2 linked regions of the Canis lupus familiaris genome follow. The protein of the gene in region 2 purifies or fractionates together with the protein of the main gene of each other region. This does not show direct contact. Links are inferred from orthologs where the notes say so. Each region holds a gene or a part of one and is shown on either strand. Other genes may lie near its edges.

Region 1 (3,618 bases), on a different chromosome or scaffold from region 2:
GACAGGATATAAATGAAACCCAGCTTTCCATCAAGCTTTCCCTCAGCTGAACTTCCTGGGAGCCAATGTGTTAAGCAATCTGCATTTGCACTGGTTTTCTTCCACGAGCCCCCACCCCCACTTCACCGCACCTGAAGCGGCCTCCCCACTCCATTCATTTTACAGGAAATGAAGGCTGTGCCACCTAATGCTGTTCTTCAAGACAACGATGCATGAAACTTCACATCTGCAGAGCCATTCACTAGGCATTTCCTCCTCTGCCTTCCATTCTCCCCTTTTTCCCTGAAAAGGGACTTTTTCCAGCTGTAGGGGGAGTGAAGCAAGAGCCCTTTTCTCGATGCCTTGAAGCTCATGCCACCTGTGCCTCACAGCTGGGGATGCGGCTAGTAAGAGTTAGGGCAGCACAGATAGGAACATTCAGTTTCCCCAGACACAGCTCCCCAGGCTAAATCTGTGCTTTTAGGCATGCATGCTGCTGCTGCCTACAACATCTTTTGCCTCCCTTCTCTGCCTGGCAAACTCCTACTCAGCCCTCAAGAGCGAACTCATGTTACTTCCTGTGTAGTGCCCTCCTTGATTCCCCTTCCTCCATGAGCACATAGCATTGTACACACAGCTAAGCATTTCCAATACAGCCCTTATTACATGGTGCTACCATGTGTCCATTTATTGTCTACTTGCCTGCCCACCACCACCCTCCACAAGGGACAGTAACCGTGCTCTCTTCTCAGAATCCCCAGGGCAAAGCATAATGCCTGGCACATAGCAGGCCCAAAATCACTGTTGATTGAATGAATGAATGAATGAATGAATGAATGAATGAATGAATGAGCGAGCAAGTGACTGCATGATCGCATGAGTGAAAGTCATGAAAAGAAAAACAGAAAGGGAAGAACTGGTTCAATAACCATCATATCCTCCTACTTTGAGGTCGCCTACTATTTGCTGGATACAACGATTATACCATCAATGTCTGGGATGTTCTTAAGGGGTCCCGAGTCTCCATCCTGTTTGGACATGAAAACCGAGTCAGCACTCTGCGAGTTTCCCCTGATGGGACTGCTTTTTGTTCAGGATCATGGGATCATACCCTAAGAGTAAGAGACACATTTTTTTATTTTACTGTGTGTGTGAGAGGAAGAGTGATTGGCCTTCTTAAAGCAGAGGCTCAGCGTAAACATGGGGCATGTCAGCCAGACAGTGCTCTAATTTCAGCTCATGGCCCCAGAACCGATCCATTGCCCCAGAGAGGTAGGGAGTCCCCCCATCAAGGCAGGTGTTCAAACTTGGTTAAATAACTATGTATCAGCATGTAATTGAAGTAATAATTGGGCCAGGTGACTCAAGCAGTTCCCATTGATCCTGAAAGTAGGATTCTTCTGATTCTATCTTGGGCAAACCACAGTGTCAATCTCACCTCTCAGTGGTGCAACCTTCTTATTCCATGGTGACACACCTTTGTGAGACCCACAGAGGGGCTTTAGGGAACTCATGAAGTCCCCAAAATTATAGGTCACATTTAATGTGTCCATTTTTCTGGGAAGAGTTGTCCTCATGGCTTTCATCAGATTCTCAAAGAGCTCTATGACCTTGTTGGATGTTGGCTCCTCATAAATAGCTCCAAAATAGCCTATTCATAAAGCAAAGTTTATTTCTTAAGTTTCTAAGTTTATTTCTTACCTCGGTGGGGACAGAGCACAAACTTGACAGTCTTAGTGGCCTCTCAGAATATAAGAACAAAGACATATGTTTAGGAGGTATGGGGAAGGGGGGGTCTGGTTTAAGGCCAGATGCAGGGATTTAATTAGGATCGGACATTTGTGGAATAATAATTTTAAGATTGCTGGACACATAGTTAGGGGAGGAAGAGGATTTTGAAGACAGTCTTGAAAAGTAACCAGTCATTTGTTGATGCTCTGGGTAGGCCTGAGAAGTGAATGTCTTTTCTAAAAAGGGTAGTTTGAGTAGTCTACTCTTAGGATAAATAAAGGATTTTTGTGAGGTTCCTAAAACATACAACAAAGGTATCTGTGAATTCATCTTCCAGGGCAAGAGTTTCCTAAATCAGTAAAGTCACCTTAATGTACTCAGTGAGGTGTGTGGGTACAGATGGTTTAGGTGCTCAGCCTAGGAGTTACCAGTCCCTGGTAGGAAGGCCACAGATGCCCTGCAGATGATTCAGCAGAGCTAGGGGGAGAGGCAGGTCCAAAGAAGCACCTTTGAGTTGCCAGGAGTAAGGTGTTATGCATCCAAAATATGAGTGCTTTATTTTGGATGGGGCACGTGTGTGTGTGTGTGTGTGTGTGTGTGTGTGTGTGTGTGTGTGTGTAAAACATTGTTTCTGTCTTTAAACTCAAGTTTCACAAGTCGTTAATTACTAAGGGACTAACAATTATCTGTTGGTGGCTTTGCAGGTCTGGGCTTAATCATCTCCTCGAGATGCACACGTAGGCACCTGAGAGTAGAATTTGAAATCGTCATATGTAAATAGTTCTTTCTTCTAGAGAATCTGAGGGTTATTGCAATGTAGATTACAGGAGCAACTCCACGGATGCAAGTTCACTCTGTGTCTCTGATATTCCTATTACGACTTCCACCCCTGGAAACACACCGGTGTGGGCCTTCAGCACTAGAACACCTTCAAGTACAGTGTTTTGCATTTTAAATGCTTTTTAAAATGTATCCATTTTTAAGGTTATTCTAATTATACAGTCTCAATGCATCCTATTACCAGTAGGATTCAGCATATAATACGTCCCCAGGACTTTCTTGAATCAGATTTGTTTTCAGAGCACTTTAGAATCTGATTCTCTCAGCGTGCACTGTGTCTTTTGGAAACTTCCTCTGGAAGTGCTGATCTCAGCGGACTATATGAGGCAGACCATGTTGATTGGTGATCTGTGATAGAAAATTCGTAATTGGACAAAATCCCTTTCTAAAAAAATATTTTTATTGTAAAATTTTCTTTTTCAGTCTCACATCTTTTTTCAGAGCAAACATTTCCTTCTGTGTGAACGGTCATAAATAGAGGAGAGAGATCCATCAAGTGGACAGGATGTTTGATTTATGAATTCCATGAGTGATGCGATGAATCGCTTGGACAGGATCCTTCCTGTCATTTGAGAGAAAAGCGGTTTGTGACACAAATGCTTCCCAGAGAAACCAAAACCTTTCTTGTGTGGGAACATAAGACAGTAAACTTACTTAAAAACCTGTTAGTAGTATTAGATGTATTAGAACTAGTAGTATCCACTCAGGCTACAGTAGATCATATCCATATGAAGCATATTCATATTTATTGCACTGAAAATATAATTACATACACAAATTAGTTGATAGGCCCCGAGTGATAATGTCTCTGTGTGTCTTAGATTGAGAAAAAATAACACAGAAAATACCTGTCTTTATTTGAAATTCAGCATTTCCTTCTGGAAGACACTACCTGTTTTTGTTAGGAGATTCCCTCTTTTCCTTGTTCTTAAGGTGTTGAGGCTTAATCTTTGTTTTAGCAAACCCCTCATTCATAAAGATAGCATGCATTACTTAGAGAAATAGAAAGTTGCCTCACACACCGAAAATCACTCCTGGTGGAGGCCTGCCCTGTGGGTGGTCTGGGGT
Region 2 (4,116 bases):
TGTCAGTTGGGGTGCCAGGGAGGGAGGGAAGTCAAGAATGACCCCAAAGATTTACTCTCAGATGGCTGAGGCTGCAGAAGAGGGTTTGGCGGGTGCAACCGATGGAGCTCAGTGTCAGTGCCGTGTGAGACCCACCAGACCTCCAGTTGGGAATATACAGCAGGCGATTGGGTAGTTGACCCTACTGTTGGCGTTCACTGCACATTTCTTGAATAATTCAAGCCAGAACTGAAGCCGAATCCAGGGTCCCAGTCTCCCCCTCTAAAAAATGGTCACAATAATACCACTGATCCTAGGCTGTCACGAGGCTGGGGCGATTCCTTTGCAGCACAACACCACACTGCACACCTGGAAACTAAAGTCATGCGTGGGGTGGAGAGACGGCTGGGGTCTGCAGCTCGGGCGAGAAATGCAGGTTGTGTACGCTTCAAGCAGCGTCCGTCGGTCCGTCTCCCCCGTCCCCCAGCGTCTGGCTGCCGTCTGGGAGGGGAATAGGAGCCTGGGTCGTCACCCTGTCTTCCCCCACTCTAAGCTGGGTTTCCTCCTTGGGGGCGGCCCGGGCCAAAAAACTGCTGATGGAAACCAGCTGCGGGAGGCGCAGAGGCTCGGCGCAAGCCCAGGCCCCTCCCCGGCGCCGGCAGACCCCGCTAAGGGGGGGGACGAGGGCGCCCCAGCTCCCCTCCCCCCCTTCCGCAGCCGGGCCCGGGGCCCTGGCACGTCCGGCGCGCCTGATGCTTTCCAGATGTGAGCCCGGTTCCCTTCCCCCACCTGGCCCCGTGTCTCCTGCGGGGTTGGCGGCGGGGGAGTCAGGGTCCGATACTCTCAGATGGAATCGCCACCAGGCACCCGGCCCGCTGTCCCCTCCCCGCCCTTCTCGCTTCCCCGTCTAGGCGATAAAAAGCGAATTGGGACCGGCTGACTGCGTGGAGACGCTCCTTGCAGCACCTCCGGCTCTCCCCAACCCCGCCCCTCGGGGCACGCCTCCTCCGGCCCACGCCCCCAATGGTACGCCCCGGACGCGCCCCTTCGGAACCCCGCCCCCGCCCCCGCGGCCCCGCCCCGGCCGCCCCGCCCCCGCCCCGAGGCCCCGCCCCCGGCCGCCCCGGCCCCGCCTCCGCCACCAGCCCCTGTGGGCTGCTCGGTGTGCGAGCCGGACTGTCCGCCTCGGTGTCTCTGGCTGTCTCTGGCTCTCTACGTTCCTGTGTCTCTCCTATACCCGGCACGTCTCTGTCTCTGCAACCCCCTGTCTCTTTCTCACCTAGTCCCTAGGTCTCAATCTCTCCACATTTCTGTCTCTGCGTCTCTCTCTGCCACTCTCTCTGCCTCTCCCCACCTCTCTTTGAATTTCTCAGCTTCAGTCTCTCGCCCTGGCCTCCAGCCCCCTGCGCCCTGCAGCGTCCGGGTCTCCCTCCCGGGGGTGCTTCTCCCGCCCGCCCTAATATCCCTCCGCCTACGGCTCTGGCGCGGCGGGCCGCGAGCGCCCCCGTGTGGTCATCCGGGGGCTGTCGCAAGAAGGCCCGGAGGGTTGAGTGTGGGCGCCCACAGGGGTGTGCGAGGGCAAGGAGAGACACTGAGTGTCCCTGGGTGACACCGGGGAATGGCGTGAGACGCCGAGAGATAGTATGAGCGTGTACTACCTTGGGATTGTGCGTGACGCTAGAGGTTGTTGTGTGGCTGTGTGACCTGGGGAGATTTTGTGACCACCAGACACAGGGTGTGACTGTGAAACCACGTGTTACGCCGAAAGGTTGTGTGCGGCTGTGCCTGTGAGATGGGAAAGATCACATGCAGGTGACTGCGTGGGACCCTGAGAGGCTGGCTCTGCCTGAGACACTATTCGTGGGGCTGGTGGTGACATTGAGACTATGAAGGAACGAGAGATTGTGTGGCACAGTGTGCAACGTGGGGAGACATGAGGGCCTGTGTGTGTCATGCGGGCAAACGTGTGTGACAGAGGGTGAGACAGAATGAGTATGACACACCCAGAAGGGGCGTGGGAAGTCGGTGTGACAGGCCCAAGGGGGAATAGGTGTGACAGAGGGACCGTGTGAGTGTGACAGCATATGTCAACCACACTGGTGAACTGTGAGAAGCCGTGTGACTCTGTGTGACACAGATCATGTGGGATAGTGAGACACACAAGGCGTTGTGACAGCCCTCCAGGGGTTGTGTGACCGTGCAGGGCACAAGCAGATGAGAACATGAGTGAGAGACCTTGTGCCCGTGTAAGTGTGCAATACACGAGACTGCTGGGTGAGGGTGGTGACAGCTGAGGGTAACGGGGACTGTGAGGGGCTCAGCAGGAGCTCGTTTGCATGATGGGGTGTGTGTGGGGGGACACTCTGTGAGGGATGGTGTAAGATTGTGTGTGACACCAGTAGACTGTGCAAAAGTGAGCATGAGTGTGTATGTGGGGATCCCTGGACGTGGGACTGCGTGTCACCGTGTAACACCATGTGCTGTTGAGTGACAGTGCTCAACAAAGATGTCGTGTAATTCCATGTCCCAGTGTGAGACCCTGACACAGTGAATGTGTGTGATGGACACACATTGAGAGACTGTGTGTGACACGGGGCGAACCTCCGTTTGCACCTTTGATACTCTAAGATAGTGTATCTGTGCTTGTGCCAGGTGGCACTGGGGATGACGTGACATCTGACACATTGTGAGACATTGCGTGACATTTTGAGGGGCCGCGTGACTGTGGCACTGTAGGACACTCTGTGGGGAACACCAGGGTGTTGTGAGACAGTGAGGTGGCGGGCACCTGCATGTGAGGGGGGCCGTCTGTGGTGGGGTGACCCCGGGGGGCAGCTGTGACAGGGTGGGAGAGCACGTGTGATGGGGGGGGACAAGCTGCACGGGCCTCACAGGAGGGGTGTGTGTGACCTGGCGTAAGTGTGGGGTGTGGGGCACACCTGTGAGTGAGTGTGCGTGCGTGTTCCGGAGGGACAGAGACAAAGAGAGAAAGGGAGAGACAGAGACACAGAAAGACAAAGGGGAAGGACATCGGGAGGGGGCCAGGGTGCGGGACCGGCGCGGTGGCAGCGGGAGGAGGCGGGCCTCAGGGGCTGCGCCCCGGGGGAGGGGGCGGGGCGGGCCTGGGAGCGGGGGACACCCAGACGCGGTCTCCCAGCCGCCACCTGCCCGCCAGCCCGGCCGGAGCTGCAACAGGTAGGAGGCTCGGGTCTCCCCACCGCGCAGTTAATCCCTCTGCCCCAGATTGCAGCCATGGTCTGTCCGCCTGGGAATGAATGAATGAGTGAGCGAATGAATGACTTTCTACTTCGCGTCTCCATCAGCCAGTCTCTGCCCCCGCCCCTCCACCTCCCTCTCCCTGTCCCCCCAGCCCTCCTCTCCTCTGTCCCCTATCCCCGCGGTGCCTCTCTCTGCCGCTCCGATCGTCCCTCTCTCCTTTCCCACCCCCTCACTCCATCCCTCCCGGACCCCCCACCTCCCCTTCTCTGTCCCCCCACCGTCCCCTCTGTGCCTCCGTCCCCCTGGATCACTCCATCCCTTTCTTTATGCCTCAATTTGTCCTCCCCTCCCTCTACTCCTTCCATTGCTTCATCCATCCATCCTCCCTGCCCGTCTCCCCGGTCCTGGCTGGGTTACCCGCCCCCCACCCCCCAGCCCTCTCTCCGGCTGCTAATGAGCAGAGGAGCCTTTGAGGTGGCCAGGGCTGGGGTGGGGGAGCGCCCCGAGGGGGCCGGAGGGGGCAGCTGCTGCCAAGGCCCTAATGAGGCCCCCTCTGCGCCTTTCCCGCCGCGATCTTAATTCCTTGTTCTCCCCGGAGCCACCGCTAATTGGCCTGGGGAGGCCCCCCTCCTGGCTCCTGCTCGGTCCCCGGGGGGCCCAGGACACCTGGATCCTGATCCAGCACCTGTGGCCTCGTTGGGTCCCTCCCTCCACCTGCGGGGCGGCCTCGCATCCGTGCTTCCCTCCTGCCTCCCCTGGCCCCTCCTGTCCCTCCCTGCACCTGGCCCTGGGTACCCCATCCTAGGCACCCTCCACCCTCCGCTCTTACCCCTCTCCTCCCACACGTCCTGCTTTGGCCTGCCTCTGCCACCCCACCCCCGTCTGTGCGTGTCTCTTCATTCCTCCTCCGCCCCCCCC

Evidence for each region. Proteins that work in one complex are often made in the same cells at the same time.
Region 1: the proteins of GNG8 (region 2) and GNB5 purify together in Homo sapiens (co-immunoprecipitation; 3 studies listed by BioGRID and IntAct, with this or other methods). This does not show direct contact. The link is inferred for Canis lupus familiaris from reciprocal best matches to the Homo sapiens genes GNG8 and GNB5.

Annotation. Positions count from the first base shown.
Region 1 is NC_049251.1:18,128,775-18,132,392, reverse strand, and holds part of GNB5 (guanine nucleotide-binding protein subunit beta-5), read left to right. Parts: intron 1-930; coding exon 931-1,097; intron 1,098-2,414; coding exon 2,415-2,426; 3' UTR 2,427-3,618. UniProt on the Homo sapiens protein: Enhances GTPase-activating protein (GAP) activity of regulator of G protein signaling (RGS) proteins, such as RGS7 and RGS9, hence involved in the termination of the signaling initiated by the G protein coupled receptors (GPCRs) by accelerating the GTP hydrolysis on the G-alpha subunits, thereby promoting their inactivation.
Region 2 is NC_049222.1:109,969,780-109,973,895, forward strand, and holds the start of GNG8 (guanine nucleotide-binding protein G(I)/G(S)/G(O) subunit gamma-8), read left to right. Parts: upstream 1-1,295; 5' UTR 1,296-2,773; intron 2,774-3,090; exon of another isoform or gene 3,091-3,174; intron 3,175-4,116. UniProt on the Homo sapiens protein: Guanine nucleotide-binding proteins (G proteins) are involved as a modulator or transducer in various transmembrane signaling systems.